Struthio camelus: one gene and its partners. The protein of the gene in region 3 purifies or fractionates together with the protein of the main gene of each other region. This does not show direct contact. Links are inferred from orthologs where the notes say so. Each region holds a gene or a part of one and is shown on either strand. Other genes may lie near its edges. The genes, in order: TULP4, ASB7, RNF7 and RAB40B.

Region 1 (7,807 bases), on a different chromosome or scaffold from region 3:
AAAAAATGAAATGCAAGATTCCAAATCACTAGCTATGATCAGCTCTGCAACGTGGAAGAGTGAAAGTGAATGAAACCAAGGAGATACGAGGATGTCTGGCCATACAAATAACTCATTCAAAATCCCCCTCCTTTTTTTTTTTTTTTCCCCCCCCTAATAAATATCAACAGACATCTGTACAAACTCTCTTAGCAGCCACGCTCCTTGGTAACTGAACTGGAGGGCATGTACCATTGTTACTTCAATCACCTGAACAGAGGCCTGTCCTGAATCATTCTCTAACTCATCAATGAATTGGGTTAAGTCTTCAGCAGGGTCCCTTCTGCCATTAAGCAGAGACTTTGTTCTACCTAACAAAGCGCAAGCTTAGCTTCCAATCTGACTATGGAAGGTACAATATAAAATGACCTCATGCATCATTAAACAAAACTAAAATTTTGTAACACAAACCTGTACTAAACAGAAATATGACTTTGTGTTTTTACCATAAGGATGGAAGTCAAACATCTGATCTTATTGTTAGGCCCTTTTATACAGAGTTTCTTATATTGATCACAGGCAGACAATGACCGAATAATTATATAAACACGTGCACTGACACATCTTAGAAGAACTATAACTTTTTTAGAGGATAGTTATAAACAAAACCAATTTTACTTGAAAGTTCAGCTGAATCAAATATTATTTTGTGATTAAAATATGATTTAATGGGCTAATGGGAATTACATTGCAACAATTTCCTTGGTGTAAGTTTACGAGGAAACCATTTAAAAATCTATGCATTAACTTACTGAAAAAGATGAATACTTTAGATTGTCCATAATGTGCTCAGTATAGTTCACAAACTGAGCAGATTTTTTTTTTTAAAGAATAGTTGCATATTTTGTAAGGGTCTTACAATAAACATCCATTGTGGAATTCATTCCCATGTAGTCAATCTGTTGCTAGAAGTGACAAGAAGTACTATATTAAAAAAAAAAAAAAGTCTTTCCCTGAAACTCATTCACAACAACTATAGCTGTCAGTTTTCTAAGCTGTTTTTAATCTTTTAAATATCTATCTATCTATATACACATATCAACCTACTACCTCCTTTCAGTCCAAAAACTGACAACGACCTCCTAATTAAGGCTCCATCCAGGGAGGAAATACTCAGACTTTTTTAACAGCAGTTCTGCTTTGCTTGACATTCATATTGCCTATGAAAAACGTGGCAAACTCTGGCAAACTTTCCTTATAAGAGCAATTTAGTTAACTTCATGTCAGCAGCTCCTATTTCTTGAAAACAGATATCTTAAGTTCTAAGTCTCAAATTTTACAACCTATCTGTAAAGCCATTAGGAAACAATTTTATTCTTTACAGCTCCCATATAGGCCAAAAACTCAGATGTACATGCCTCTTACCTAACCTATTTAAAAACACAGTATGTTGCTGATGAAGCAGTAATCCTTGGACAGGCAAATTCCACCCTGGCAAAATGGAAGTGCCTACAGGAATTGCCTGACTGCAATTATATTTTTAAAGACGCAAAGAAAGATTTTTTTCTATTCAGAGACTTCTGTCTATTTGTTTTTTGAAAGCACGTAAATCTAAGTACTGGAAGAAAAAAAAAGCTCTTAAATACTTAAACATCACATCTAACATAGGAAGTCCCTTGACCTCAAACTGCTGGAGACCTGGCTGGTTTCCCAAAGCTTCACTACATGATCACCCGGTTGTTATACTGTTTCCTAGGCATCTGCTATTTGGCACTTTCAGAAACAGGATATGGCGCTAGACGGACCTTCAATCTGGCCCCATAAAGGTGTTTCCACTGTATGTGTCAATGTGTAATTCAAAATTAAGTACTGAACTGGTAAATGATTTCTGCACTTTTTAGCCAGCCTCTAGCAAGCCAGGGCGCTCAAACACGTACACATGTGGACGTTTATGGAAACGCATGATGTAAAGGCACAACACAAAAGAACGTAAAGGAGTTACATTTGCTAGGCAAATTTTACAATACCACCGGGTAAATTTCCAAGCCGTCTTCCCTCCCCCTCCGGAGGAGGAAAGAGGAGGGAGGAGGCAAAAAGGGAAAAATAAGATTAGCAGCGACACAGACAGTGCGCGGAGGGTCACAGGTGATGCAGGAGGCAGCCTGGCGCTCCCGGACCCGCCGACCCGCACCAGACCCCAACGGCCGCCGCCCGCCCCGCCCCGGACCCCAACGGCCGCCGCCGCCACCGCCCCGCCCCGGACCCCAACGGCCGCCGCCCGCCCCGCTCCGCGCCGGGGGAGGCAGCAGCCGGAGGAAGAGGAATCTCCCCATCCCAGCACCCAGATTTCGGTGCATCCCGAACTACAGGAAGAAAGGAAAAATCAGGTTTCCTAGCCAATCGCCTGTCCTTTAGTTTTTGAGACTGGCTGGGGGAGGGAGGGGAAAAGAAAAAAGGGGGAGGGGGGGCTGTGGCTCTCTGCCCAGGTCGCTGTGAATGAGGCACGCCGGAGCAACGGCTAAATAAAGGATGTATATACGTTCAGAAGGTGTTCTGTAACCACAGCACAAAATGGACTTCTTTCCCAGCGGCTGGCGCTCTTTCTCTCTCTCTCTCACACGCACAGGTGCCCCACCGGAACAAAAGAAAAACAGCCCCGGAGCCGCCGCGGCCCCGCAGAGCGCCCAGCCGGCCCACGGCCGCGGCCCCCTCACCTGCGGCCCGGCCGCCACACCCTGCTCCGGGCACAAGGGGAACGGGGCACCCCCCACCCGCCCCACCGCTGTTGCCCTGCACCGCACGCCGCCGCCGGCTCTCCCCGCACTCACCTCGGCGGGACGCGGCGGCCTCCCCTACGCCCGCCCGGCTCCGCGCGCCTCTCCCTCCCCCGCCCGCCCGCCCGCCCGCCCGGCTCCGTCTCTCACCGCTACCGGAGCGCCGGCGGCCGCTGCTGCTGCTGCTGCCGCTGCTGGGCCCGACTCCTCTTCCACGTGACCCCGCCACGTGACCACCACACTTCCCCGGGCCTGGGCCAGGCCCCGCCCCCGCCGCCTCCCGCCCGTGCGCGCACCCTGCGCCGCCGCCGCCGCCGCCGCCCCTGGCTGCGGGCCGCAGCCCGCTGGTAGGGCCCGGGCAGCGCGGCGGCGGCCTGGCGTCGTCAGCGCAGCCTGGAGACACATCTGACGCCCCCTCGCGTCCGCGTCGCCCCCCAAGCCCGCTACTTTTTTCCCTGAGAAACCACGAGAGAGCGGTTTGGAAAGCCAAGGTTATAGATCGTATTGGGCCTTAGTTGATACCAAAGCACTTAAAATTTGCTTTTCTCTGCTACCTGCTGAGCTAAGAAAGAGGGAAGGAAAAAAGTTGGTGCCCGGAGCTGGGACGTTAAGTCAAATAACATGTCTCACAGTGCTCTTGGGGAAAAAACAAAGGCACTGGCAGCACCACAGCCCTAGACGTTGACATAAACCAAAAGCCACAGCGAGCGAGAAGTAACCACGCTGGCTAGCAAGCGGGACGAGCAAACCCATGCTGAAGGTAACCTCTGCTCACAGAAAATAAAAGCCTGCCATAAGAGACCGAGGGGATGTCTGGTGAGAGAGAGCGCAGTTATCCTTGACGTTTGGCAGTTCAACATACAGCGCAGCCACATCAACGCTACAAAGCCAGGGGGCTCAGTAAGGAGAGATTTGCATTGCAAACACTTCAACTCTTCTCTGGTGGCACGTTCAGTTCATATTGCATTTCTTCAGAAAGGAGCAATAAGAGGCCAAAACACAAAAAGTGCTCAACTTAGTAATTTAAGGAAAGCAGAAACACATCATAATTATCAGCTCTAAAAAGGCCATCTAAACAACAGCACAGCAGCACGAAATTAAAAGGCCCAGTCCGCTACTATTTTTGGCAATGCCAACTTATTGACCATTTCAAAAACTGAAAAGGTAAAAAGGTAAATATTTTTCACTATATTCCCACACATCTATTCCCCAAAGCTTTGTAAGGATTTCATCTTGCAACTTTAGCAAGAGGAGGCCAAGTTGTGCCATAGGACCAGCTACATCTGTGAAAGCCTGAAAGACTGAAGCCTAGGATGCTATGTGTTAGAACTAAGCATGGATTTTTTATGCTGGTTTATCTACTTCTCATTAAGAAAAAAACTTGCTTCTTTTATTTAAAATTTTCAGGGTAAAGCCTTGGTCATCTCTGAACATGCGATAATAGTCCTGTAGCTAAAGTGCAATAAAATGGTTATCAAGGAGTTAGGGCCCCATTTCTGAGCATGTCACAACAGTCACTTTCAACCTGTGGTCCATGGAGAACACAGTTCCTGAACTACCTCCAGGATATCCGCAAATATTAACAACAACAACAAAAAAAGCTGCCTTATTGGCAGACTTAAATTTGTTATACTGGGATCCCTTCTGCAGTGGAAAATTGAGGGGCCAAAGCAGTTAAAACCACTGTGTCACTGAATTCTTTTATCATATTGTGTATTTAACTTAAGCCATCTGTGTCTTAGCTCAATTCCTAATTTATAGGCTATCATAAGGATTAACATTTGATAGTAGAGCAAAAAGCACAACAGAAATTTTTCCAAAGCAATAACAACTATAGTTCTAACCCAATTCGTAATCCTGTCCTCTCCACACTTAGCACAGTAGTCTCATTGTGCTGCCTATTAGTCCCTTTCCTCACCTGTAACAGAAGTCTTTAGTAGCTGGGTTCACAAGAAAAACCTACTCCTGATAATTGTTCACCAGCCTATACAAACTGTGATCATGACTTTTTGAGAGTCACCTTGCAACAGTCCTACCCATCCTGCAATCTACTACATGCTGAAGGAAAATACACAGGAAGAACTATCTTATCAGCCCTGGCGCTCATTCTATTAGCATAAAACATTCTTTTCCAAAAAACAAATTCATCATATAAATTCACACAGACACACAAGAGTCTCTGGAACTAGAATGGGATACTTCAGACTATATTTAAACCTTGCAACATGGGAACAACCCCTATCTTTTGCCTCTGCATGTGTGAATCAATAAGTCCTGATTTCACATCAGGATGAGACTACAGCACTAGTTCTTCACCCATATACAGAAAGGGAGTAACAGCATGCTCAGATCACAGCCTCTATTATTTATAGCAGTATCATATGCTCTTTTAAGTCCATCCCACAGAACATTGCTGCTCTATAAATGCAAAGGCATATCATAATTGGGGAAAATACCTCTACTGCACTGTATCAGGCTTGTGCAACTTCTATTTTGTACTTATTCTGTGGCTACACTTAAAGGCACGTATTCCTAGGATAGTCAGGCTGTCCAGCATTTTAATATCCTCTTAATTCACACTCCAAAATATTTTAAAGTAAAAAAATATGCAAAATCCAGAGAAACCTTGAAGGGGAGAGAGCCCTTTCCTTCACTACGTTCTAATCATCCTCTTCCTCTCATGTAATCATCTTGACCTAAAGAGGCAATTTGTTGTATTATTGGCTAACAGCATAAACATTTGCATGGTGCAACTGCAGCATTCAACTTACCTGAAGTAGTACAAGCAAATGAAAAGCTTACTCTAAATTTGTGCCATCAAAATCTTCATATCATACAGTATTCTTAGTTTTATTATGATGCATAATAAAAACTCCACATTTTTGTAAAGTTGTGTTTTTATTCACTTCTTAGTATTGTTGATCTAAAGAAAGGCTTAGTTATGGTCCATCTAAATTGATGGGATAATAAAAGATCAGTAAATAAAGTGCACAGAAAAGTTTGTAAATTCATTTTTACTATTGGAATATTCTGAATTTAAGGTCAAAGGCAATAAGATATGTGCCTTTTCAAAAGGAACTCAGCTCTGTTCAGTTAAATTATAGCCAGGGCTATGGTTTTATGTCTCATCCAGCTGTTACAGTAAGTAGCTCCTCCCAAATCTGTCCATTTCTATAAACCATTAATCCCATATTCACAGCCGTTCCTTCTAAGGAATCCCAGGCTGGCCTCTTTTCCAGGAAGATTTTCTTATAATACCTCATACTCTTTAAAGGCAGACACCTTTGCAGTAACTAATTATGGCGATTCAGGAAGGCAGATGGCAAATCTCACTTTGCCTATGAACAATTACATGAACTATTTTTGAATGTGGAAATTTAAAAAAAATACACACACACACACACACACACAAGGAAACGATGTTTTTAACTCCCTTTCCCTAGTCTGCCCAACCAGAACATCTAATTTTTTTTTCTCTCCAGATAAGATATTCACTCTCCCTTTCTCATTAAATATTTTCATTTCAGACATGGATTTTCTTTTCTATCTCATTCAACTTCTCATCATTTCTTCCCCATTCACAAGCTCACTCTCTTTATACTCGTTTATGCTCATTTATAGAACTTGGGTGTCTTGAGGCAAAAACTAAAACACAGGACCTACTTGCCTTCCAAATACAAGCAACTACAAAGCACTAGAAAAAGAACAAAACAGTGATTTCTGCAGGCATCATCCTTCTGAAATTGGTGTGCTGATAGCTCTCTATATAGTCTTTATATGTAAAGTCAAGGGTTTCTTTTTTTTAATCAGACAATCACTTCCTAAAAGCATTCCAGATGCTCCATCAGAAAGGAGAAGCATACCCTGAAAATCAGAGGTAGCCATTAAGTTCCTTTTCAATTCCTTAGTTTAATTTTTTTTTTAATGTCTCTTTTGGGGATGTAGCTCTTCATGTTCAAACTCATTCCAAGGATAGTTTCTTTCAAAGGTGGAGATCTATTAAGTCCAGATAACTAAGGGTGGAAAAAGCAAAACAAAAAAAAGGTCTTGAGTTATCCAAGGGAAAAAAGTGACCTGTTTCTACAGTAAAAAATATTCTTACCTCTTGCAGGTGCAACTCAAAAAGCAGGTAAGGGAAATAAGTTCAACACTGGCATATAGTTAAGTCCACACTGAAGCCTTGTTGTTATAAAAACTCATCAATAACTTAGAGTTGAACAAACTAAATATGCCTAAGTATTTGCAGGACTGACATCTTCGCCTTAAAAGTTCGCCGTGACTTTCTGTAAACGGGCAACACAAGAAATGACTTGACACTGTTTCAGTTTCAAACAGAGTTACAAAGGGAAATCCTATTTGTACTTTTCATTGCTTTGATGCAATATTTAAGACCTGCATTTTTTGTTGTCGTTGGCCAATGACCTTTGGGAGGACTGCACTGGTATTGCAGTTTTACAGCTTGTGAGCTGGGCTTCCCAACCCTTAGTAAAAAGCGTATGGAAGGTTGACTGAGCTCAGGGCAAGATTTTGATATGAGTTACTTAGAAACATAGACCAAACTCTGTAGAAAGTCAATTAATAATTACAGGTTTCTGAGAGGGCAAAATTATCCAGTCTCAGCTGCCTCTGGCAGGCAGTACTAGATGAGTTTCCTCTCATGTCCCACCCCTACTAGCCACAGGGTCCAGGAGGGAATTCCGGTATGTTTGCCTAGATAGAGATTCCTTTTGAACTCAGAGTCCCTCAGTGGTACTGTTCTTCAAGGCACTGAAATTTAGCCTTTTCATTCAGTTTATTTCCATTACAAGCTGTTAAAGTTAGTTAAATGGGATGACAAAAATAATCAAGTAAAAATTGTTAAAGGATTCCCAGTTTCACTGATCTGCTCTACTAACACCCAAGAAGCCTTCACCTCAAGTTAAGGTATGAAATTAATCCCCTCTAGTTTTCCAGTCCTACAGAGGGTTTTTCAGCAAAGACAGGGAAACTGAGAAATACCTAGAATACCTCAAAGTAAGAAAAAAAAAGAAAGAAAAAAATTGCTAGATCATCTT
Region 2 (7,703 bases), on a different chromosome or scaffold from region 3:
GCATCTCCTAACACACTTGAAAAAAAATCTCTTGGAATATTTATTACATATCCTTCCTATCAATCGTTCCTGACCCCAAACCCCTTAAGATGCTCTTTAAGGGAGAACTATCATATAGCATTATTTTGTATAGCTTTCACCTTGTTCCTGATGCTGGGTCTAAAGACAGCTCAACAGAACTGCATGACATTTTGAGGGAACTAACATATATTTCATGCTGAACACCAACAGACTGTAGATCTGCCTTTCAGAAAGTTAGAGCATAATAGACACGCAGGCAACAGATGCAGCAAAGGAGCAGTCCTAATGTCTCTCCATGGGTCTAATCGCAGAATGCACATCTTAAGAAGCACTTATAGATTTTACTGTAGTCATGTAGTCCCTGCTTTTGTGCCATATAAGCACTACAAAAAGGCGGCTCTAGAGTCAAATAGAAGAACCTGAAGGCATACATTCACTAACTCATCGTTTCTAAGTTGTGGAAGGTTATACTCACACTCACCTCTTCCTTCAGCTGGAAATACACAAGAGACGCTAAACTTCTTGACGCCATGTGAGATAACAGCTGATCAGAACTACTGAGGAGACAAATCTGCAGACATGTGAAAAGAATAAAGTATCTAAGTTATATTCCCTTTTTCCCTTTCATAAAAATCTTCCAAAAGTTTGTAAAAGCTTACCAGTTTTGAGTCGATTTTTGTCTCCTTCAGAAGGAGGACAAAGATATCACAGTACTTCCGTCTTGCATCGAATTCAATTTCCTGGGACTGTACTTTAGCCACCATCATCTTGATCAAGGTTAACTGAAGCAGCATCACTTCTCGTGGACACAACGAGGAGTTCATATTTGCAAAGTTATTAGATACATCATCTGTTACAAGGACAACGGTGTCTGAAATATCAGGGTCTTGATGGCTCCTAATACCACTATTAGCAGACGGCAGATGCATCCGATTACACGATTCATCTCTTTCTGGTGACTGTTCAGTGCACAGATTGAGGAAAGAGGTATAATGACGGCTCTCCTTTGCTAGTGGAATGCCTACCAGTACATCCTTATACATCTGCTGTAGCAGAGACATCTCCATAATGAGAACAATAAATATTCTGGAGAACGTCTTATGTCTCCACTGATTATTCCTGGTCACTGCAAATTTGTTTTGAAGTTATTTTTATCCAGTAAGAGAAACAGAAGCACTATTAGGCATTTCTCTTCTAAGATACCTAGAAATAAATATTCCATTGTTACTGAATTTAATAGATAAGCAGGAAGATGCAGAAGAACTACATACATTTTTAGAGTTAATACTACCCTTACTAAACATCACGTGAAAATATACGCTATGTTTTTAAATAGCAAGAGTGATAAACTAATAGTTGCATAATTTTTTTCCCAATGGGACATTTAAATGGCGTAACTTTACAAGAATGACCATGTAGTGAAGAAGTTTATAGTCCCAAGTACGATACTACTGAAACTAAGACTGATTTGCTGGGCCTAATGCAAACAAGAATGACTACTATTAGGGACTTCATCTAAGACCACAAGAAAATTGTGATCAAGCCTTCCTCTATCTTTACATAGCTACAGCTTCCGAAACCTCATTTCTTTTTTGGGATTCCTCCAAAAACAAATTTTTATTTGAACAGGCAATGTTTATTGCTCCACTAAGATTGTGCAGAGCAACACTTCTCAAGAAACAACAAATGGAGACTAAAGAACAAATCTTCTATTCTGCTGCACGTAGACTCAAGGTGAGTAACATGAATATGCTGGAGGGAAGAACTGGGCTCTTAATTTAGTAAGGAGGACGGAACGAAACACTTAACAGAACTCCTTTACATCTACGCCTGCAGAACTCTCGTTCTGAGCCCCTAAATCTTGTAACCCAGAAGAGATGCACAAGACCAACAATGCTACAGGCCTGTAGGCTCAAGGGACCAGTGACTGAGACATTTAAAATTAGAAATTACTTAAAAAAACAAAGTGTTGAAAGCCAGTAAAAATATTTAACCACATTCAGAAAAGTTAAAGAACAGAAAAATCTTTGATCACAAAGTCAATGGAACATTTTGGAATAGCATGAGAAGACTCAGGACAGCTTAAAATGAAAACCTTTCAAGAAAAATCTTGCTCTCTCTGCTTTCAAGTGTGAGTAGCTAAGCACCTACATATTTCCAGTCATTATAAAAGCGGCTAGATAGAAAACAAAAAATAGATAAAAACCAGAAGACAACAACAATATACTTAATACAGCTGAAAAAGAAACCATGTTAATCTTAAAGAGTAATGCTAGTCTGTAATATCAGTCTTTTCAGGACAGTTTTAACACATTATCTACCCAGAACCCTTTTATTAAAAGAAAAGCATTATCTTTATCTACTGCCAAGTTGGGAGTGGGTGTTGTTTTGTATATAGAAATTTATTAATTAAATTTACTAATTAAAGACATTTACTTGAAAGAGGGGGGGAATGTCAAACGACTAAATTTGTTTCAGACATAGTAAGAGAGAGCACAGTGAAAAGCACAAAGCTAAAGAGTAAAAAAAGCAATCATACCCAGAAACAAGAAATGACAAACTCCAGCCCTTCCTTGTATTATTTATTTGTGTTATTCATGACAGCATCTAAAAAGCAATGAAGATAAGGCTCCACAGTGCCAGACACTTGCACAAACAACAGAGAGCAGTTCTAAAGAGCTAAGATACAGACAGATCAGGCAGGAAGGAAAACCATACAGTAAAAAGAGAATAAATATTTTGCTATACATTATTTTCATGTCTATTTTAGTTAGGCTTTAAAATCAAAAACAAAGTCACGTGGAGCTGCAGATAGCAAGGAGAGAAGAAATTTGATGGAAAAGGAAATAATGGAATAGAAATGAAAGCTCAGATGGCAGCTGAAGCCTGGTTTAAGGATCAACATAAACCAAATAAGTAAAGTTTAAGTGGTTGCAAATGCCCCCAGAATGTCCTAAAATAGAATTATAAAATCAGGGTATTTCTCCAGGGTGAGAGGCTTAATTTAGCCTGAATTCACATAAATCATTGGTTTGACTGGAAAAAAATAAAACTTTTGAAATATGATAGCTGCATCTACTTTCTTATTTTTTACTAACATGAATGGCTTACAATAACACACTATGATTACTCAAAGGTATCAGTGAAGAACAGGCATTATGAAAGGAAAATCTTGTCAAATCCCTACACTGCATAAGTCTTTCCCTGCTGCATATACCATTAAATGTTATCACAGAAATAGCAACCGGGAGAAAAACTATCGTCATAAAATAAAACCAGAGAATGCCGTCATGGTGCATGACTTAACAGGTAAGAGCTTGGAGGCGCTGGATCACCGTATGACACGATGGGTAAAAAACAGAGAAAACATACTTTGATCTACTTGTACCTACAGTGACTTTGTAGGTTCATCGCTCATTAAAGAATATGCTTCTGCTCAGTGCTGAAATACTATAATCGCCTCTGAAGTATCATTTCCTTCCAGAGGCTGCAAACAACCTCTACCGTGAGCTGTCCATTTCCAGACAGTTAACTCTGACACCTAAGCACGCTAGGTGCTTAACCTGCTCTTGAGCAGGCACCTTTACCCACTGCAGCACACAGGACCAGAGAGGCCTGATCAGACGTCACCGGACCCTTACTGTACCTCTAGCACTGCTGCCTCCGGCGGGTTAGGAGTAGCAACACTTGGCTAAAAGCCACTCTGCAGTCTGACAGGGAAGAGAGGTGAGAGCAGGCTACTCACTGCCCCAAAGGAGCCGGCACAAGGAGCAAGGCCGGGCGGGTAACCCAGTGCCTCGGGGGCCGGCAGGCAGGGCCTGGCCCGGCGCTCTCACCACCAGCGACAGGAGCCCCGGCCCGCAGGCCTGCTCCCTCAGCCAGGCGGCCCCTCGGCCCAGGCGGCCCTGGAGCTCCCCGCACCGTTCTTCCCCTCAGCGGCTCCCCCGCAGCCTCAACCGGCCTGGCCCGGCCCGGCGACCCTTCAGCTCGCCCAGGCCGGCTCCGAGCCCCCTCAGCTGAGGGGGGCTGGACCTCGCGCCTCCTCAGCCTCGCGCCCCTCGGCTCGGCCCGGCCCGGCCCGGCCCGCCTCGGCCTCGCGCCCCCTCGGCCCTCCGCAGTCCAGGCCCCACCCCAAACTTCCCCCCCCCACAAGGGCGCGCCCCCGCCCTCCCCCACCCAGGCTCCGCCCCTCGCTCCCCCTCCCCTCACCTGGCAGCGCGCGCGGCCCCGCTTAGTCACCCCGAGCCGCCGCGCATACGGATCCCCCCCACTACTTTCTCCCTGCTGCTAGGCAACCGCTCCGAGTCACCCGCCCCCTGGAGACAGGGCGCGGTAAGGCCCAATTCTCCTCCGTCTAAACGCCGGCGCTGCCATAGCCTTCTCCTTTTCCACCCCCGCCCCGGCTTTTCTCTGTCGCAAAACCCTACCCCCCCTCCCCAGCGCCTTTACGGCAAGGGGGAGGAGCGGTGGGCGGAGCCGCCGTCAGCCCGGCGCCCAACCCGAGGCGGCGGCGGCGCACGGCAGGGGGCGGGCCCAGCTCGGCGGCAGCGGATTGGCTGAGGCGGAGGTCAGTCCCTGCCCGCTGACCCCGCCGCGAGCCGCGGGGGGCGGCTCGGTGCAAAGTGTCCCCACACGGCTCGGCCCCCTCCGCGCCCGGCTCCGCCGCTCCCGCCGCCGCCGCCAGAGCGGGGGGCGGCTGCGCAGGCAGCGGGCGCGCGCCGCCCCCCCCCCCCCCCCCGCGCGGCGGCAGACAGGTAACGGCCGCGGGGGGGAGGAGGGGGGGGGGAAAAGCTGCGTCCGCTTTGAGCCTTCCCCCCCCCCCACACCCCGGCGGGGCGGGGAAGGGAGGGGGGGACGCGACCCCCTGGCCCGCGGCGGGGCCTCGCTGCGCCGCTCCCGGGAAGCCCCTCGTCGGCGGGGGGGGGGGGGCGGCTCCGCTCCTCGCCCCCGCCGCCCCGTCAAGGAGGGGGCGCTCAGCCCTCTCCCCCCGCGGTGGGGGGGGCAGAGGGCTGCTCGCCCCCCCCCACCCCGCCCGGCCCTGGGCTTGCCCCCGCCGTGCTCCCGGGGGGGGGGGCCCGCCCCCTACTGCACTCTGCCGCCGGGCCCTCCGGACCCGGCGCCCCCAGCTTCCCTCCCCCCCGCCCCGGGCTCGCCCCCCCCCCCCCCCGCCCCGCTGCCAGGCCCCGGAGCCCCGCGCTGCGGCTCGCCCAGCTCTCTCCGTGCGCTGGACGGGTCCTGAGGCAGTTACTAACTGCAAGGGAGCGACTGGATTTCCCAGCAGCTCTGCTTTGCGGGTTACTTCCTGTCCCATTCTCTAACGCTTACCTTTTACTCCAATTCCCTTGAGACTTGGGCTTGACAGGGCTAGCAGTCCTGCTGTTGTGGGCCTTCCAACTCTTGGGTGTCCTGAGAGAGCGCTCCTCTTTTCAAATTGAGGTCCCGGTTTGGGTAAATAACCCTTTCCTTCCTAAATTTTGAAGAATTTTCCTGTTCCAACCCGTTATTGCTTTGGTATTAACTATTTTTACTCTCCATTTCTCTGTCTTATGTCATTACATGGTTTAGTGCTCCTTTTTTTTTCTTTTTCTTTTTTTTTCTTTAGATTTAAGCTGCCTTAAAGAAGAATTAAAAATTGCATCTCTGAAGAACAAAATAAGACAGAAGAGAGAAAGCAGCACTCAAAAAAATAAAAAAAAGGTGATAATTCATGTAGACTCTCCAAAATCATCCTAGACATGTGGTTTGGTTGGCTTTGGGGCCTCTTGTTGTGAATGTTTTTGATAGATTTGAATAGGTAGCATTAGATTTCTTTCCTCTCTTAAAACTACTTGCTTTTGTGCTTTAAAAGTTCAAAAGCTTTAAAGGCCAGCTGAAGTTCTGTTCCTCTCTCTTGTTCTGTTCATTTTCTAAATTTAATCTACAGACGTTATTTTCTTTATGATTTGCTGCATAATGTTTTTTTGTGGTTCCTCATTTCAGGAATGTCATTTAAAATTACTTTACTCTGGGTAGTTAAAAGGGTCTTTTCTTATAGCCTTTTCACTGGTTTATGGTATGACACATGACTTCTAGTAACTGCTCTGAGCCTAAAATCATTATTGGGGTAGGCCACGGTAATTGCATTATGTTGGTTCAGGTATATCTAACTTTTGCATGTATCAGGGGCTCTTTGCGTTGTGTTGTAACTCAGCTGCAAAAATTGACACTCATTTAGTTGGGTGGGTGTTGGCTTACAAGTGCCAGCTTTTTGTGTTGACATCACAGAAGAAGATAATACTGTTAGATACTTTAAAATATGAAACATGATATCAAAAATGGAATGCTACTGCTAAAATGAGAAGGGTTGAGTTTCAGGGGAAGAAGAGTTCATAGGGCAAATTGCATGTTCTATGTGGTAAGAAGATTCACTCAAGATGTCTATCAGCCTATTTCTGCGTCCTGCTCTTAGTACGCTCCGAGTAATGGAGTTTCTGCTCATTCTTTTCATGTAAAGTCTGTACTGAACCCATTTAAATCCATTTCAAATGTAGATGAGCCTGTGTTACTTTGGCAAATATATCCTCAGTATACATCCTATTTGTCTTTGTCATGTTTTCAGAGATGTCATTGACTGTAGCATAATGTTTTTCATTGTCTACGGTAAATTATTTTTTTAGCATTAGTTGCAGGGGAAAGAGCAGTACCTGTTGTCAACAACCTTGGTCAAGGATGGATCATTTCTCTAATATAGGTATCTTCAGGGTATGGCGAAGAGTAGCTGTTAAACTTCAAAGATTAAGTAGGACATTTCCTGGTAACGCAAGCCACAAGCTTGGAGAGGCATTTTAAAGATACAGTGATGAAATATTCCGGTTATTTTGATAGCTTATTATAAAAACACATGTGTAAGACTGGAGCGTGTGAACGTGTCCAGTGTAATTGCAGGAGAGATTTTTGGTAACGATATAATAGGCAAGATGAATGTACGTTAGTGCAAACTTTTCAATGCAGTTACGTCACCCCTATTTCATGTGAAGCTGGTTTATTATAGCTCTCCTTACAACCCATCCTGTGCATCTAACCATAGAAGCTTGCATTACTGTAGCTACTCAAACAGGACACCTCTGGTGCTGATAAATCCTTGGATGTTTAGAATTTATTCACGGAATGAAATGCAACTGTTCACTTGATTTTGTGAAGCTCCTTAATGTGAAATGCCAATGCAGTGAAGTTTGATCCAGAAGCAGAAACTGAAACTGAGTTTACAGGAACTGGAGAACTAGCTTCTGGCAGACATGTATGCATGGTTAAAACGGGGAACAAAGGTAAATGATGTGCTGAAGGCCTGCTCTTCCTCTCTGGAGGAAATGCAGCACGTTGCAAGTATAGCTATCCCCTTAGATAAAGTTGCACATCCAGACTTTGCTTTTATCTTTAGGCTATATGCTCATTTTGTTGTTTTCTTTTTTTTTTCTTACAGTGAATTCTGAACCCTTAAAGAAAATGTACTGAGAGTCTGTTTTCCGTTGTTCCAGAATTTGCTTACAGAATGATACTATCAGAGAGCAAAACTGTTGCTTTATCCGCTGAAGTCATCTAATGAATTTTGTCCTCTCAGACTCTTACACAGTATTTAAAAAAAAATATACAGAGCAAATTTAAGTCTTCTGGAGACTGTTGAATGAAATGAGCTTTATAAATGG
Region 3 (7,097 bases):
CCACCTAAAATTTAAAAGAGTGCACACGACACAAGGAAATACGTATCTGCAAGAGATCAGAAGGACTACAAACTGTTCAACAACTTTTGTTTATTTTCCATTGCTTCAGTATTTTCACAACTTCTGCTGAAAAAAGTATTCTCCATTTTGCAGATATGACAGCCAGATTTGTGCCAAGGCACTCGCACATACCAAGACCAGAGCAAGCGCATAGCCAAACCCTAATTACAGGGCTTTGTTTTTCAGATGCCAACATCTCCTTTTAAGGAAGTCATTCAAAAATTTGATGGTCTTTAGCCTCTACATCTCCCACCTCACCCCCACCTACTACTACCATTTTTTTAAATGTTTGTTTTCCTTAAAGGATACCTGCTTGTAATTTTTGCAATACTGACATATGCACACAAACTATTTTTAAACACTGATCAGTCTGATAGCATAAATGAGGAGATAAATGGGGAAAACATCTAACTAAAAATATTTATCTTCTTTGTACGCTCCAGTCTCTGTGCCTACAGGTCTAGATGACAGATTCAGGATTACAGATGTACTAGGGACAACTTCCAGGCTTTGTACCGGGCCACACAAATACAGAGGAAGCATGCCTTCATTTCTCCTTTGCTCCAACTTGGACTGCCACAGACACGCATGCACAGATCGTGCACAGCAAAGCGTTCAACTATTATGGCAGCATACACAGTGCAAACACATCTTCATCTCCTGCAAAGGAGAGGTAATCGTTTAGACAAAAGCATCCCAGAGGCTGGACTGGGCCTGCAGGTCAACAGCTGGAACATTGTTCTACAACATACAGAACTGACATAACACAGGACTTTCAGTCCGAGTATTTCTTCTTTCTCTACCAGATACTGCAAGGTGCTTCTATTTCAGATTGACCTGCCAGATAGTCCTCCTTTTTCAGCTAATACAGAAGGAAGAGCATCCAAACTTTTAAGTATTTGTCCTTTCCTCACGAAGATGAAAGAAAGGCAGTAAGTAAAGTTTCTTGTTTTCTATTATGATAATTCCATAGCATCTAGGGGTCAAACTGCAGTGAAGATTCAGCCAAACTGCTTCAGTTTACAGCAGGGCACATCAAAATAAACTGATCTGGAGTCGCATCAGTATGCTGGGTAGTAAGCTGCGGTGGGCTAGTAGCTGCTGTAAAAGAAGCTTACCTATTCCAGCTCTGGGTTTGTTTCAGACAAAGAAGCAGCACGGACAGCTGAGGACACAAATCACTACACCTGTACCAACATAAGCTGCCCCCCAACTCCTGCATCACAATCCTAAGGGTGTTAGTCTGTGAAAGGTTAAATAAATTAAGTCAGTACTGCTGCAATCCTGCCCTTTCCAGACAACGCCTCTGCATTGCTGCTTCTTTCCCCTCGTGCTTCTGTGATCCTTGAAGCCCAAGTTGGTTCAAGGAGTTAAACCAGTAAAGAAAATTAAGCCAGCTCACATTTCCTTCCCCTGCAAAAAAAAAAGGCAAACCAACCTCAGATATGCAGAGCCAGCTCAAGTCTTGCTCAGCCTCCAACCTAAGGCTACTGCAGATGCGCTGGATCTACAGCAGCCAGACCAGGTCTGGCAGGGGTCAACATTAAATTGCTAAAGGTGGTAATAATAAAGTTTCACATTCAAAAAATCTGGTTTGTGCTAAATTTAAAAATTGTTCATTTATAATTTTTCATAATTAGACCAAGGGAGTATTTTTCATCTGAAATCATCAGAGAAAGCCGATAGCCACTTTTAAAAGTTTTCGTAAAACATCTGGATGACTTTTTGAGGACTTTTTACACTTCCCTTTAAGTGGAATGATTGTTTTTGTAACAGTCCTGAGTAATCAAGTGAAGTTGCCTCTCCAGCAGTTCTGTTTTCTCATAAATCATAGAGTAGCAGTAACAGCTGGAACAGGCAAATTCACTCCTAAAATTACGGTTTACTTTTAGCAGATAAAGCCAATTTCATAGTTCTGGGCTGGTCTCCATTCACCACCTGAGAGCAGGCCTGGAACAACTTCAAGATACGCTCAGAGAAAAGGCCGGTCTCCCACCGCCTCAGTCTGGGCTGTGTCTTTCCTGCAGGACACCTGCGTGCTTTTTCTGTTCCAACGACCCTTCTCCGTAAAAACACGGATCTGAGAAGTGGCTGCCCGGCACCTGCCGCGTCCCCAAGCGGGACCAAAGGTTAAGGCCAGAGCGGGCTGGCGCGGCAGGACCTCAGGCGACCCGTCGCGCCGAGCGCAGCCCCGCGCTGCCGACCCACCCAGGGGCTCCCGGGCAGTTATGTCGGGGATGACTCAGCACAGAGGCCAGGGCGGATACAGAGACACAGCGGAAGAGGAATTTACGGAATTTCCAAAGACCCAAAGCGGTCAGAAAGCACGAAGGCCAGCCAGTGAGGAGGGCTGCACCCGGAGAGAGTCTCCTCAACGCCAGGTAAGCGACGCCGTTGTTTTTCGCTGCGCTTCTCAGCGACGGTGCGCGCGGCTACGAGCGCGCCGCCGTCCCTCCGCTACCGCTTCTTCAGAAAGACGGGCGCCGCGCGTCTGCCCGCTCGGCCGTAACCCGGCCGGGCCGCGCTCGCCAACGGACGAGAAGCGGCCGGGGGGGGGCGGGGGGGGCGGGAGGCCGCCCCCCGCGTCTGCCCGCCCGCCCCCGCCGCGAGGGGAAGCGGCGCGGCGGCCGGGCGGGGCGGGAGCCGCCGCCGGCGACACCTCCCCCGCGGCGGGGGCGGCGGCCATGGCGGGCCGGGCCGGGCCTGCCGGGCGGCGCTTACCCATGACCTGCACGCGGCAAATGGCGCAGGTGTCGCACTCCACGTCCCAGCTCCACATGGCCACCGCGTTCCACTTCTTCAGCGAGAACATCTTGTCGGCGGCGCCCGCCTTGGAGCCCGAGGAGCCCGGGTGTGAGTGGGAGGCCCCGGGCTCGTCCCCGTCCTCCACATCGGCCATGGCGGAGGGGCGGGGCGGCGGGCGGCGGAGCGGGGCCGCAGCGCCACCCCGCGGCCGGAGGAAGGGCCGGGCCGGGCGGCTCCGTGAGGGGTGTCGGGGCCGGGCCGGGGTCTGGCCCCAGCTCCCTTGGATAAGACCAAGGCAAGCAATACCCATAATTATTTTAAAAGAAAAGAGGAATTTGGATTCCTTTCCTCACCTTAATCCAAAAAAAAAAAAAAGTATATAAAACTCATTCTTCCAAAATAGCGCCCCATCTCCTTAAGCCTACTTTGAAGTTTAATGTAAATTTGTTAATGTCGAAATTCATGCACAAGTTGAAAAGACAGACTGCTATAGTTAACATGAGGACAAACAAATTAACGGGAGTAATTTAAATTTTACAAGCAAAAGTTAGAAACAGCGTACCTTTCTTTTCCTCTTCTCAAGAGCTTCCAGTGCGTCGGCTGCACAAAGTTCTCCGAGCGTATTGCCAGCTGGGGCGTCGTGCTAACTTCAGAGTACTTGATTAGGCTGCGTTTAAGAACCACAACACTTACAATCTGTTCCAATAAGATACAATGTCATGGAGTTACACTAAAATAATGTGTTATATTAATAGTATGCATTTAAAGGAAATTATGCTTTAAATTATTTTAAGCGTCAGATGAAAACAAAGATTTTAAGGACAAAATCTTTGGCAGCACAAAGGAGACACAAAGGGTGTCTCTCTCTTATACCCAAAGAAACGGTACAAGCCTCCGCCGTCCAACAGGTACGAAGGTAGCATAACAGGACTGAAAATGAAATTCCACCTACTTCCATTCTCTCCTGTTCTCTGGAGCAGTAACATCATCAAAATCCTGATTCAACAGGGATTGGATTAGTTTAGTGCATTTATCTAGTTAAAAATTTCTGGTCTACTGTCCTCAATATTATCAGGCTATCACGTCCCCGATGGTTCACTAACATCACAGGAGACAGAAACCCCAGGGAGCTGCATTTCACTACATCAGTGATCCTGCTTAATTACAAAGAACCTATTTGTTGGAGCCCTCCCAGCCCTCTCATGCCAGCTGGGACACCGAATACAACGAAGCAGAGGAAACCTTAGAGTACTCCCATCACTCCAAGTGATTCCACTTGTATAAGTAGGGCAAGTTGGGTTTGAATATCTGATTATTATAAATTGCATAAGGAGAAAGTAATTATTTGAAGAAAGACCAGTTTCAATTTCTGTTTTAAAGTTTGCGAGGCTGTTAGTGTGGGGCCCAGAATTATTAAACAGTTTTCCAAACGTTAAATGCATGAAGCAAACAGAAAATCCCCATTTAAAAAAAAAAAACAAAACCAAAAAACCAAATAATTTTCTCAGCAGCTTTACATATGTATGTAGCATTTACTTTTATATGTCGTTTAGGACGTTTCTGTGGAGGTATACCATAAAACACTCCCATATCCCATAGCACAGCTTGAATGTGAAAGATCAACAGTGAGACATTGCAGATGTGGATGGACAATACTGATTCACCTCAGCTTGTCCACAGAACAAAAAAACTAAAGGAAAAAGTCTTCTCTGTCCCTAGTTCTGACCAGGGGTGGGCTGACAAACCAGCAAGAAAACCCGAGCTGGAGCTAAGACTTCTCATATCCGCTTGAGTAGAGAGAAGGGAGAGAGGTAGCTGCTTTTCTAGGAGAGCACAGGTTGTGTTTCTTTGGAAAAAGGTGCAGTAAGGAACAGTTTGCCAGAAACAGTTTCCATAGCTGGTTCAGGAAGTGGTTGAGACTTAAACAGTTCTACTAAGATGGACTGCTCGGTTTTACTAAATTTTAAGAACAGTTTAGGGCCATAACAGCTGGGAATAACCCCCATGAGGAAAGGGTAACTGGAGCATAATACATTTCTACCATTTTCCTACACTACCAATTGAAAAAATTACTACCAGAGGAAATCTGATAAGTTTCAGCCCCTCTTCTGACACTGGAACAATACAGTAAGTAATAGTAACAATAATATTAAAAAAAAAAAAAACCTATATTCTCATCCTAAATTCTAAGCACGTAGCTTTTATGATCTTTTAAACATGGATTCTCACTCTGACAAAATATGACTATAATGCTGTATATCGTTTTAATTAAATATGCACTTTATAAAAGTTAATTTAAGAAAAAGCAGTTTTGGCTAGATTACCTGAATTTTATGATCCATAATCAATCCCTTATTTTCTTCACCTTCAGGAACTTGAAAACTTTTATTTGTAAAACTCATAATTGAGGCTCTAAATCAGAACTGTTCTTACCTTCAGTTATGCAATGTTAAAACTCACACTACTCCGGCACGCTAAACAAAGACTTCTTTTTGCTTTCTCAGTATAGCATAAAACAAGGGAGTTCAAGTTGCTGAGAAGGAAATCATTTCCAAGTCATTCTGTGGGCCATGCTCAGAATGAATTATTTCTGGAGTAAGTGGTACACCTATCCAGCTTTCCAAGTGCCGTGAAGTAAGTGTGAATAGAAATAAAAAATTTTCACCACTGAACATCAGGTGAAAAAAAAAAAGATACTTTGCTCCTATCTTAGCTGGTTCACACTGCTCTCAATCCACACTGTCCAATTCCCAAATTCATAGTCGGCAGCCAGGGAAAGAACATTACTGGCTTGATGGCACTGAGCCTCTGGCTCAGCCAGAGTTGAGAGATCTGTAAACTTGGGAGGACCCACCATATGTAGCTGTGAGAGACTCAAGCTGCAGCATCATTATGCTGTATAGCAGAGTCTGAGGATAAACTGGACTATAGATTACGCACCAAAAAAACCCCAATCTCTATTTCCCAATCAGAGAGAAATACAATTAACCTACAGTGAAAATATTTAGATGCAAAACTGCTTCTCTCTCTCTCTCCCTGCTGACCTATCTTACCACAAGGTCTCTCAACAGGCTCTTAGCAGCTATCATATTTTTACTGCATCAGGAAAGAGAATATTAGAAAAGATCAACGACAAGGTTGTAACAACTACTGTAGTCACACACTTGTACTTCTTAGATTCAATTCTTTGTACCTGATCATATTCCTCCCTCCCCTGTTAAACTGTTATGGCACTTGTGAATCTGAATTAGTGGGACTAGGCATGATCTAGAAAAGTTTAAAAACAAATTTTGAAATTTGAAAAGAAAATGTATATGTAATTTTCCTGTCTCTGATGATATGTCTTCTTATACCTTTTCACATGGGTGTTTAATAATTTTAACTGGATCCTTGAATTTTGAACATATGTTTGGAAAGTAAAAATTTTCTGAAATTGAAGCACATTATTTCTGCTTTGTAGAGTATCAGCTGCCTCTCTCCCTATTTTTTTTAAACTTACATGATTAGCTGGATTGCTTAGGTGAATTCCCAGATACATAATTCTTTTCCAAAAAATATCATTTGTCTTTAATTGTTCTTATCAGAGGTGAGAGGGAAACTAGATGCAATTCTCCTCTTCAGTTGTAAAAACTCATTAGAACAACCTATAAGACAAAATGTAATTATATTTGGATGCCATCAAGATGTAGCACATTTGTCATGCATTTTGCAAATGCAAATATAAAATACACTTTTTAATAATTGGGCAATGCAAGTTTTAACCTGTAACTGTTCCTGGATTTCTTAATTTCACAGTGCTATAAGCAGCTTTTCCTGCACAACTGTGCAGGGTGCACTGCAGCTGAAGGGAGAGACAGCAACAAGTGGGAACAACGGGAACTGCTCTGTTGCTGACACGCCAGGGATAGAAAAACAGTCTGAAGTCAGTAAAATACCAAAGGTGGTCAGCAAAAACAATTACGATCCCTTCCTCTGGTCTTTGCACCTCTCCCCTTCATATAAGGGGCCATGAGGCACTACCAATTCCTTTCCTGAGCCTCCAGTTCAACAGAGATACAGTTCTGAATTGGTTCAGAAAGCCTGAGATGTCCTTTCATATAGGGCAGGGGAAAGAGAGACAGAGAGAGGGACACAGCAGGAGACATTGCTTTCAATAATTAGCGTGAAGGAGATGAGTTTTAAAACTATTTTTTCCAAATAAAAAAAATTAAGTGTTACCTCCTTTTTATGTCCTGACTAGCCTCCTCTCACCTCATCTACTCATACGCTCACTGTGTATGGGCCAAAATTTA
Region 4 (7,970 bases), on a different chromosome or scaffold from region 3:
AAAAAGTGCCTGTGAAAAATAAATTTGTGATTTATAACCAAAACATTTCAGATGAGACAGTAATACTGCTGCACACAAAGCCTTCAGATGGCTTTTTGTTCCCCCTTTTAAAAACCTGTTCTAGTCAGCTTCAGGTTTTACTTTATGTTCATCCTCTTTGTCTTCTCAACTATCTTTGACCCTGCTGAAGACAGCAAACAAAGAAATAAAAATACCCCTTGATAGTTATTTGCTGATGAATCTTTCCTCACTTAGCCTTTCTTCTGCCTCTCTTCATATTTGTGGGGGTTCATTTAGATTCTCCTTTTCAAGGAGTCAAAAACCGTTCAATACCTCGACCTTTCCTATAATTCCTCTACAAATACTCTGTCCCTCTACTTTTTAGAGCACTGACAGAGCATCTTCCTGCTACCTCCTGTTGTTTAGCACAGGAAAGAACGCTATCGCTACCAAAGCTGAATTCTAACTTTTCTTCCTCAACTCTAATGATGCTGTTGCCCTTCCTGAAACCCATCCCTGTAACTTTAAGGCAGTCTTTCCATTCTGTCTACAGAATTGGTAACAATAATCTTTTCTCTCTGAACATTTACAGTCCTTTTCCAAGGCCTCATCTTTCCTTCATCATGACCACCCTTGGCAACGCATTCTTTCCAACCTTCTCACCATTCATATTGCCACCTGCCATCTACTCAATGTCAACAGCTAGAAGAGCCTCTTTCCTGTTGGTATAAGCGTCAAATTCTGTCTCTCTTGCACGTGCAAATTTAAACAAAAAACTGTCTGAATTCCCTTGCTTCACCACATTAAGTCAATTTGTTTGTTCTCCTTTTCGAGGCTCTTCAGAACTCTGCCTCTCTCTTCTCAAATGCTCTTGTCTCTTACCCTATCACATCTCCTTTTTCATTGTGTTCACAAAGCCATTCCCATCCATCAAGCTCTATAACAAAGTTCTTGTTACTTCTAAGCCTATACACGTGGCACATTTTGACTGGATCTATCAGACCACTATCCTTTCTCTTTCCAATTCAGAGACCTAGTCAGCATTATGAAAGTGGTAGAAGTCAGCCAGTTAACTAAGGACTTGAAGAGGGAAAAAAAGAAAAGATCCACCCACAACACCAAACTCTATCAAGCTGTTCAATCAAATTAAATTACAAAGTGAGTCATAACACCAACAGGATGTTTAGTTTAGTTTTCATGAAGAAAAGATGAATTAAGAGAGAGAAAATAATTTATATGAGCTTTCACAACTAAAATTAGAAATTACTAAGTAACACTGGACAGTATGTTACAGTCGTGTAAAAGCTGAAGCTCAAAACGTACAGAAGTTCTTAATAATAACACCAGTTGCACAAAACGTGAAGTCAGATTATATTCCTTTCCTGTTTTACTACACCATCTGTTTTAGCTCCCCTTCTCTTCTAACTCATTTCTTCATATCCCTCTCTTCGAACATGCTTCTCATCTCCCTTCACACTCTGAAACAATGGCCTTTGCATTGCTCAGTTTACTTACTACTCTGTGTTTTTTACTACTATCCTATATATTTTAGAAGTTACTAAGAGAGATGAAGAATCTCCAAGCTGTATATTACATACTTGCAAAGTAAGTTCCGAAAGAATATTTCTATTTCTTCGCTGTCGAGAAATCTATTTAGAAACATAGTGTTAGGCACACAATTTAAATAAAGTTTAAGACCAATACACAAGCATCACAAGGTTTACATGCAAATGTCTGAAGCAAGACTGATGAGCTTGGGAGGTGCTCAAACATTCCCCCTCAGTTACATCAAGACACATCGGAGACTAAAGTGTTCTTTTGGCATAAGAATTTATAAACTACGTTGTGCATGCAGAACAGGGCCAGACTGGGCACGCTCTCCCCAAGCCTTCCTTCCCTTTCCTCCTACCACTTCACGATGGCCCAGCAGGAAGAGTAAAGAGACTGCTACCTCCCAAGGACTAGTTTAGCAAAGCTATTGAGCAAACATCCTAAAAAGCACATCAATACCTTCACGATACCGTCTGACTCATAAGCAACCATACAAATAATGCTCCTTGCCCCCTCCGCCTCACTTTTTTGCCTTGAATACGTACCAAGAGCTCAACATAATAACAGAACCTAAGCCACCGTAAAGCCTTTCAGTGAATTAATTGGACACTTTTACTGGCAGTAATTTAAAGCAATGGGTAATTTTACAGGATAACTTGCCTTTTAATATGCTGCATTACAAATGCGCACAAAGAGGAAAAACGTGAAACTAGGGCTGTGCTCTAGCAAAAGGAGATGGGGGAGTAAAAAGGATGAGGAAGGGGCAGAAGAAGAGAAGTCTCCTTTTCCCCAAGCCACCAGCGTAGTTTCAAGTCAGCCTGCGACGTCCACCGCTCTGTATCTCGCAGGCAGAACGTATCTGCCATGGACGCGGCTCTCCAGGCTCGAGCTTTAAAACGCCCAAGTGAAAGGACGAACTGCAAACGCGAACCTTGATCTTAAAGGGCTCCTCTTCTGATATGAAAAACACGAGAGTTAAAAAAAGGAAAAAAGGGAAGGAAAAAAAAAATTCTTCTTTTCTACTCTTCCAGTGAAACCGGACAGCGAAACATCGCGCGGCGTTTGGCTGCCCGCGGCCCCTTCGCTCCGCCGGCCCCCGGGAGCTCCGCGCGCGAGGGGGGAACGGCAGCAGCGGCCGTTTCCGCGCGCGTCGCTCGGCTGCGGGCCCCGGTGCCCCGAGCCCGAGGGGCCGCGGGGGGGGGGGGGGGTCTCGGCTTACCCATGTGGTAGCCGTAGGGCGACTCGGCGGCGCCGTCCTGCAGGCTGGCCAGGATCTCGCCCTTGCCCACGTCGCTGTCCCCCACCAGCAGGAATTTCAGCAGGAAATCGTAGGCTTTCACCGGGCTTCCCGCGCGGCTCATCCTCCCCGCGGGCTGGGCTCGGCTCAGCTCCCGCCGCCCATGCCGGGGCCCGGCGGGCCGAGCTCACCGCGGCGGCGGGCGGCGGGCAGCGGCATGCCCGGCGGCCGCGGCGCGGGCGCTGCCGGGGCGCGGGCGGCGGGAGCCCGCCGTGTCAGCGGCGAGCGGCGGCAGCGCGCGTCATGTCGCCACGCAGCGAGCGGCTCCCCCGACGGAGGGCCCGACCTCCCCGCCCCGGGGCGAGCAGCAGGCGCTCGGCGTCGCTCCGTGCGGCCGCCGCCGCCCCGCTCCGCTCCCCCCGGGCTCACTCAGCGCGTCACGTCGCCGTCGCCGCCGCCGCCGCGCGCGCTGCCCCTCAGCCGACCGAGCGGCGCGGAGCCTGCCTCCGGCCACGGCGCGGTGACAGGCTCCGAGCCCCGCCCCCTCGCCCTCCTATTGGCCGATTGGCTGGCGCTCCCGCCCTCTCCAGCATTCATTGGTGCTCCGAGACATTATCCCCGCCCCCTCCCCTTCAAGGGAGGGCTGCGCTCCCACCGCTTTCGCTCATTGGTGTACCAAAAGGCACTAGCCCCGCCCTCCTCGGCTCCCATTGGAGGGAGGCAGACCTCGACCGCCCCCCTCCTCGTGTTTCCAGCGGGACACAGCGGCTCAGTTGCTAGGTGGCTCTAAGGTCGCCGTTGGTTCGCTCGCTCATCAATCACACTCGGTCTCGCCTCCCCGCTGGAACGGAGCTGTTTGCCCCGCTGCCGAGTCGCGGCGTGTTTACAAGGCAGCAGCGCGGGAGCCCGTGACGGAGCCGCGAGTTCGAGCCCAGCCCCTCCAGCGGGGCCCGACAGTAACTGCGGGGGTACCGCCCGCGGTAAAGCCGGCCGCTCTCCCACGCGTTTGCGGTAACTACCAAGTATGCATGCAAATGAACGCCCCTAGGACTCAAGTACAGCGGTGGGGCAATGGTGGTGGGAAGGCTTTGTGAAGTAGTGGCAGTTTATGGACAAGGACGAGCGTTCCTGGCTTTGCACCAGCACCCGCCCCAAGCAAGGTACCACACGTCGCCCTGCAGCAAGGGGACCCAAGCCATAGCTACAGGCTTTTAAAGTCATTCATTCTGTGGACTTCAGTCTTGCTTTTACGACATTTATAGCCTGAAGAGGCACATACTTTTGCCCTCAGATCCACATCAGTGTTGGCTGGTCTTGCCCTCTCCCGATCCTCATTCAAATATTACTGTAGAATCACACAGAAATCCATGAGAATGAGACTGGAATGGGATGTCAGCCAGCCTGAGCTTTCCTCCTGATCCTGCAATCCAGCCTGGTGATATATGCACATGAGAACAAAAGCCTATTGCCTTCCTTGATAATACTGCAAAGCATGTATTAAAAGCACTACATAGGAAGCTGAGGGAGAGGGGTCATCTTTGGAGTAAGTGCTCACCCTTCACATGCCATTAACAGCAAAATAAATTCAGCAGGTTTCTAGACTGAGCTGCATCAGTGCATCATATCCAAACCCAGGTGTCAGACCAGTAGGAAAAAAAAAAACCACCAGAAACCTACAAGCAAGAGAACAAAAGCTTACAGAAAAATCTCATTTTTTAAACTTTATCATAACACACATCTTTACTGCCTAAGCTCTGTGCAAAGCCCTTTACGACCTTCTTGTCAATTGCTTGTAGCATATCTGTCAGCAAATATAATTTAAAAATTTTCTTGGAAAAAATCTTTTTAACCCTCAGTGATTTCCAAATAGTGTCAAATTGGTGCAAAGTAAGTTTTTAAAAAGACAGAACCCCTCCCCTCCCCAACCAAAATAGAGCTGTATGCACCAAGTTCCAGTATACGTAAAAGTTACAGCTCCATGTAGGGTCTTAATGCCCTTGTTTTACTGAAGAAAAAAAAAAATCCACCCCACTTTGCCAAAGCACATCTAAGTCAGAAGAATCATATACACAGGGCTTACTCCGGATTATCTGCAGCCAGACGTAAGCCCTAAATTGAAAAAGGATCTACAACTATGCCTTACATTTCTACTCAAAATAAAAGAAAAACAAGTCCTTGACTAATAAAATCTATTTGCATGGGAATGATGCAATACTGGTCTACTGATTCTTAAAAAACAACAAAAAAACCCCCCCAAAACTCTTAACACGCCTATTTCAGGACTGCAAATAAAGCAGCAAGCTCAAGAATACTGCTATAGCATTCCTTAGTATTTTTAACACAGTGCGACCTGAAGAGTACGTACAAGATATCCTGTTCTGTTCCCCTATGGACACCAAAATACCACATTCCCAGCTTCAGACAGGCAAGTCTCTTTCTAGCATACTCATGCATCCAACAGTTACACCTCTTTATAATCCAGTCATCATTTATTGGAACCAAAGTCCTCTTGGAGGTGGGGAAGATAAATTTGCAACAATAAACTACAGTTTAAGGGCTTCTTTTACTGTAGAAGTTAGCATGCAACAGAATACTGCTTGAACTGTTACATACAGAGAGAGAGAGAAGTGTGCCTTTCTTCCAGATGCTTTATCTGTCAGAGCTGATTTTTCAGTTTTTACTTTGAGAGGGACTATGCAGTTGCAGTAGTCATTCGTACTTTTGCAGTGGAAGCAACGCTCTTGACAGTTGGAGGACAGCCCTGGGCATCAGGAAACTAGCGCTCTAACCCCAAGTCTAACGCAGCCCTCCTCTATGAATTTGGACAACTTCCTCAAATTCTTTATACCTCAGCTTTCCAGTCATATCAAAGCTATTTGCTATAAGCAAAAGAGCGTCATGGGATTTAAAGCACAAGTTTCAGTGGAGTCCTTTGAGATGTCACAAGAAAAACATTAAAGTGCAAACTAATCCTTCTATCTTGCTTTACTGAAATTCTATTTATTTGATTTTTCCAGCAGTTCACCAGGGAAGAGTGGAAAAAGAACCAAACCTTTTCATAACAAACTCGACAATTAGAAGCATTTGGTTTTTGTTAATCTGAAGAGTTACTTGCTTGTCAATTGTTTAAAAAAAAAAAAGTAGAAGTAATGCTTTTTCAGATATCTGTTTTGATGTCACAAGTGCTGGAACTCTGGCATGTTTCCACTTTCCCGAATATTTCCACTTATCTGACAATTACATGTAAACATGTTTAGAACACAAATCTGTGCCAAGCCCAGGTTTATTTTGAGGGAAGTTCACGGTTACACTTTATACAGGAACTAGTCAGCTAGAATACACCCACAAATCTTTAACCCATCACCTGTCTGAATAATACAAAGAATGCATTTACTAACCCACTTTCAAGCTTTAAGATATCCCTGTGAGAGGCAGGCTGAAAGTACTCGTTTTTTAAAGATTAAGAAATAATGATATGCATGTTACTCTTTTACCATGCCAAACAAAACTAGGCTAAACATAAGTCAGAGCTGTAAAATAAACAAATACATAAACAATAACAACAACTTCTTGATCAGGATGAAAAAAAAAAAAGACTCTCAAACTCTTGCATCCAAAGTGGCAGCTACATTTATTGGAAAAAAACCCACTTTAAAAAAAAAAATCCTTGCAAAGAGCATATTTTCTTCTCACTATTAAAATGACCCAAAAATGAACATCCTCCCAGAACTTCATGCTGAAAGGCAGAAACTTGGAAAGCAAAGAAACCCAGTGGTAATACGGCATACTTTGCATCTAAAAGAGAGACAGACAAACTCCAAACATTAAACTCTGAGGACAAAAAATTTCTCTGATTTTTCTCTCTGCAACAAATTAGGTAGATCAGGTCCTCTGCTTCAGTCTCACTTTTATTCAGATTTTGCCCCAAATTATGCCCCTGGAATCACTATGGTTACAGTGAAAAATTAATCCATGAAAGCATCAACTCTGCAAATAAACAGACATCAATGACACTGCTCCCAATGTCGTTGCATTATCAGACAAACGGCTAAACTCTGCTCTTAAGGCCTATCTCAGTTTGTTATTTTGATGATGATGCTTTTAATTCCATTTACATTTATCTGCTCATACAGCTGATCTGAAGAATTTTTGAAAACACATTTCCATCCCTTAGGGTGATTTATGTTTAAGAGAAAAACAAGCAGTAACAACAAATCTCCATCACTGTCATAATTATAAATCACCTCTTTCTGTAATGGAAGTTCCTACATCCTTCCCGAACCACCCTCTCAGCCTTTCCATTTTTTTTTTTTTTTTTTGGGGGGGGGGGGCAGGGGGGCAGAGAAGAGTCCATAGCCCTTTTGTCATATGTTCACACAAATAGAGGCTTGCAGCCTGAAAAGCCCTAATGCATATTTTCCATTTATAAATATATACCAACCCATAAAAGGCTGCACATACCAATTACCTTTTCTTTTCTTGTACATACTGTCAAGCAGTAAACAGAAATTAGCAGCTGCAGTGCTTTTTTATTCAGGAGGTGTGTATCAACGGATGACTCACCAAATAATTTGTAGCCCAGTATGCCAGTTGTCTTCTCCTCCACAGAAAGAAACACTATTTTAAACAGAAAGTTAACCACTGTGGATGCTGCAGGCAAGCCAACGGGTTTGGTGAAGCCCAGCAGCACAGAGGGAAGGGGATGGTCCCAGAAACATATTGCAAACACTTTTAAAAATACTCAAACGGAAACAAATGACACATGGAGCAAAAGAACAGAGGTGGGGAAGAAAAGATTATTGCAAAGTCAACCCACTCTGCCACACGGCCTTTTGTGGTATACACTGCCTTCATCTCAGCAGGCAAGACCTGCACTGCATTAACAACTTCAGTATATGGCTACGCTTTTTTCTGGAAGTACTTTCTGGAAGTACATTTGGGGCATGACTCAATAGTTTATTTCAAACAGGGGTCAGCAATTTATGGCACAGAGGCCAAAGATGGCAAGCAGCAGGCGTACTAAGGGCTTGGAGCAGGGACTCACAGCACACTGAAAAGAAAATCTGTGAGGCAGCAGCCCCCAAATCCTGGTTCTCACCGAATTCCAATATGCATAGGATTTGGGAGCCCGTGCCTCCTGCAAACAGATGCCCTGTAGCATCTTTGGGAAGGCAATGTCTTG

The links.
Region 1: the proteins of RNF7 (region 3) and TULP4 purify together in Homo sapiens (co-immunoprecipitation; 3 studies listed by BioGRID and IntAct, with this or other methods). This does not show direct contact. The link is inferred for Struthio camelus from reciprocal best matches to the Homo sapiens genes RNF7 and TULP4.
Region 2: the proteins of RNF7 (region 3) and ASB7 purify together in Homo sapiens (co-immunoprecipitation; 4 studies listed by BioGRID and IntAct, with this or other methods). This does not show direct contact. The link is inferred for Struthio camelus from reciprocal best matches to the Homo sapiens genes RNF7 and ASB7.
Region 4: the proteins of RNF7 (region 3) and RAB40B purify together in Homo sapiens (affinity purification with mass spectrometry; 3 studies listed by BioGRID and IntAct, with this or other methods). This does not show direct contact. The link is inferred for Struthio camelus from reciprocal best matches to the Homo sapiens genes RNF7 and RAB40B.

The regions. Positions count from the first base shown.
Region 1 is NC_090944.1:77,701,025-77,708,831, forward strand, and holds the start of TULP4 (tubby-related protein 4), read right to left. Parts: upstream 3,002-7,807; 5' UTR 2,904-3,001; intron 2,882-2,903; exon of another isoform or gene 2,808-2,881; intron 1-2,807. UniProt on the Homo sapiens protein: May be a substrate-recognition component of a SCF-like ECS (Elongin-Cullin-SOCS-box protein) E3 ubiquitin ligase complex which mediates the ubiquitination and subsequent proteasomal degradation of target proteins.
Region 2 is NC_090953.1:4,621,739-4,629,441, reverse strand, and holds the start of ASB7 (ankyrin repeat and SOCS box protein 7), read left to right. Parts: upstream 1-4,694; 5' UTR 4,695-4,775; intron 4,776-5,623; 5' UTR 5,624-5,718; intron 5,719-7,703. Other genes in the region: LINS1 (protein Lines homolog 1), read right to left, coding at 503-592, 681-1,088. UniProt on the Homo sapiens protein: Probable substrate-recognition component of a SCF-like ECS (Elongin-Cullin-SOCS-box protein) E3 ubiquitin-protein ligase complex which mediates the ubiquitination and subsequent proteasomal degradation of target proteins.
Region 3 is NC_090950.1:15,210,142-15,217,238, reverse strand, and holds the start of RNF7 (RING-box protein 2), read right to left. Parts: upstream 3,015-7,097; 5' UTR 2,960-3,014; coding exon 2,782-2,959; intron 1-2,781. UniProt on the Homo sapiens protein: Catalytic component of multiple cullin-5-RING E3 ubiquitin-protein ligase complexes (ECS complexes), which mediate the ubiquitination and subsequent proteasomal degradation of target proteins.
Region 4 is NC_090960.1:10,853,284-10,861,253, reverse strand, and holds the start of RAB40B (ras-related protein Rab-40B), read right to left. Parts: upstream 3,006-7,970; 5' UTR 2,913-3,005; coding exon 2,771-2,912; intron 1-2,770. UniProt on the Homo sapiens protein: RAB40B small GTPase acts as substrate-recognition components of the ECS(RAB40B) E3 ubiquitin ligase complex which mediates the ubiquitination of target proteins.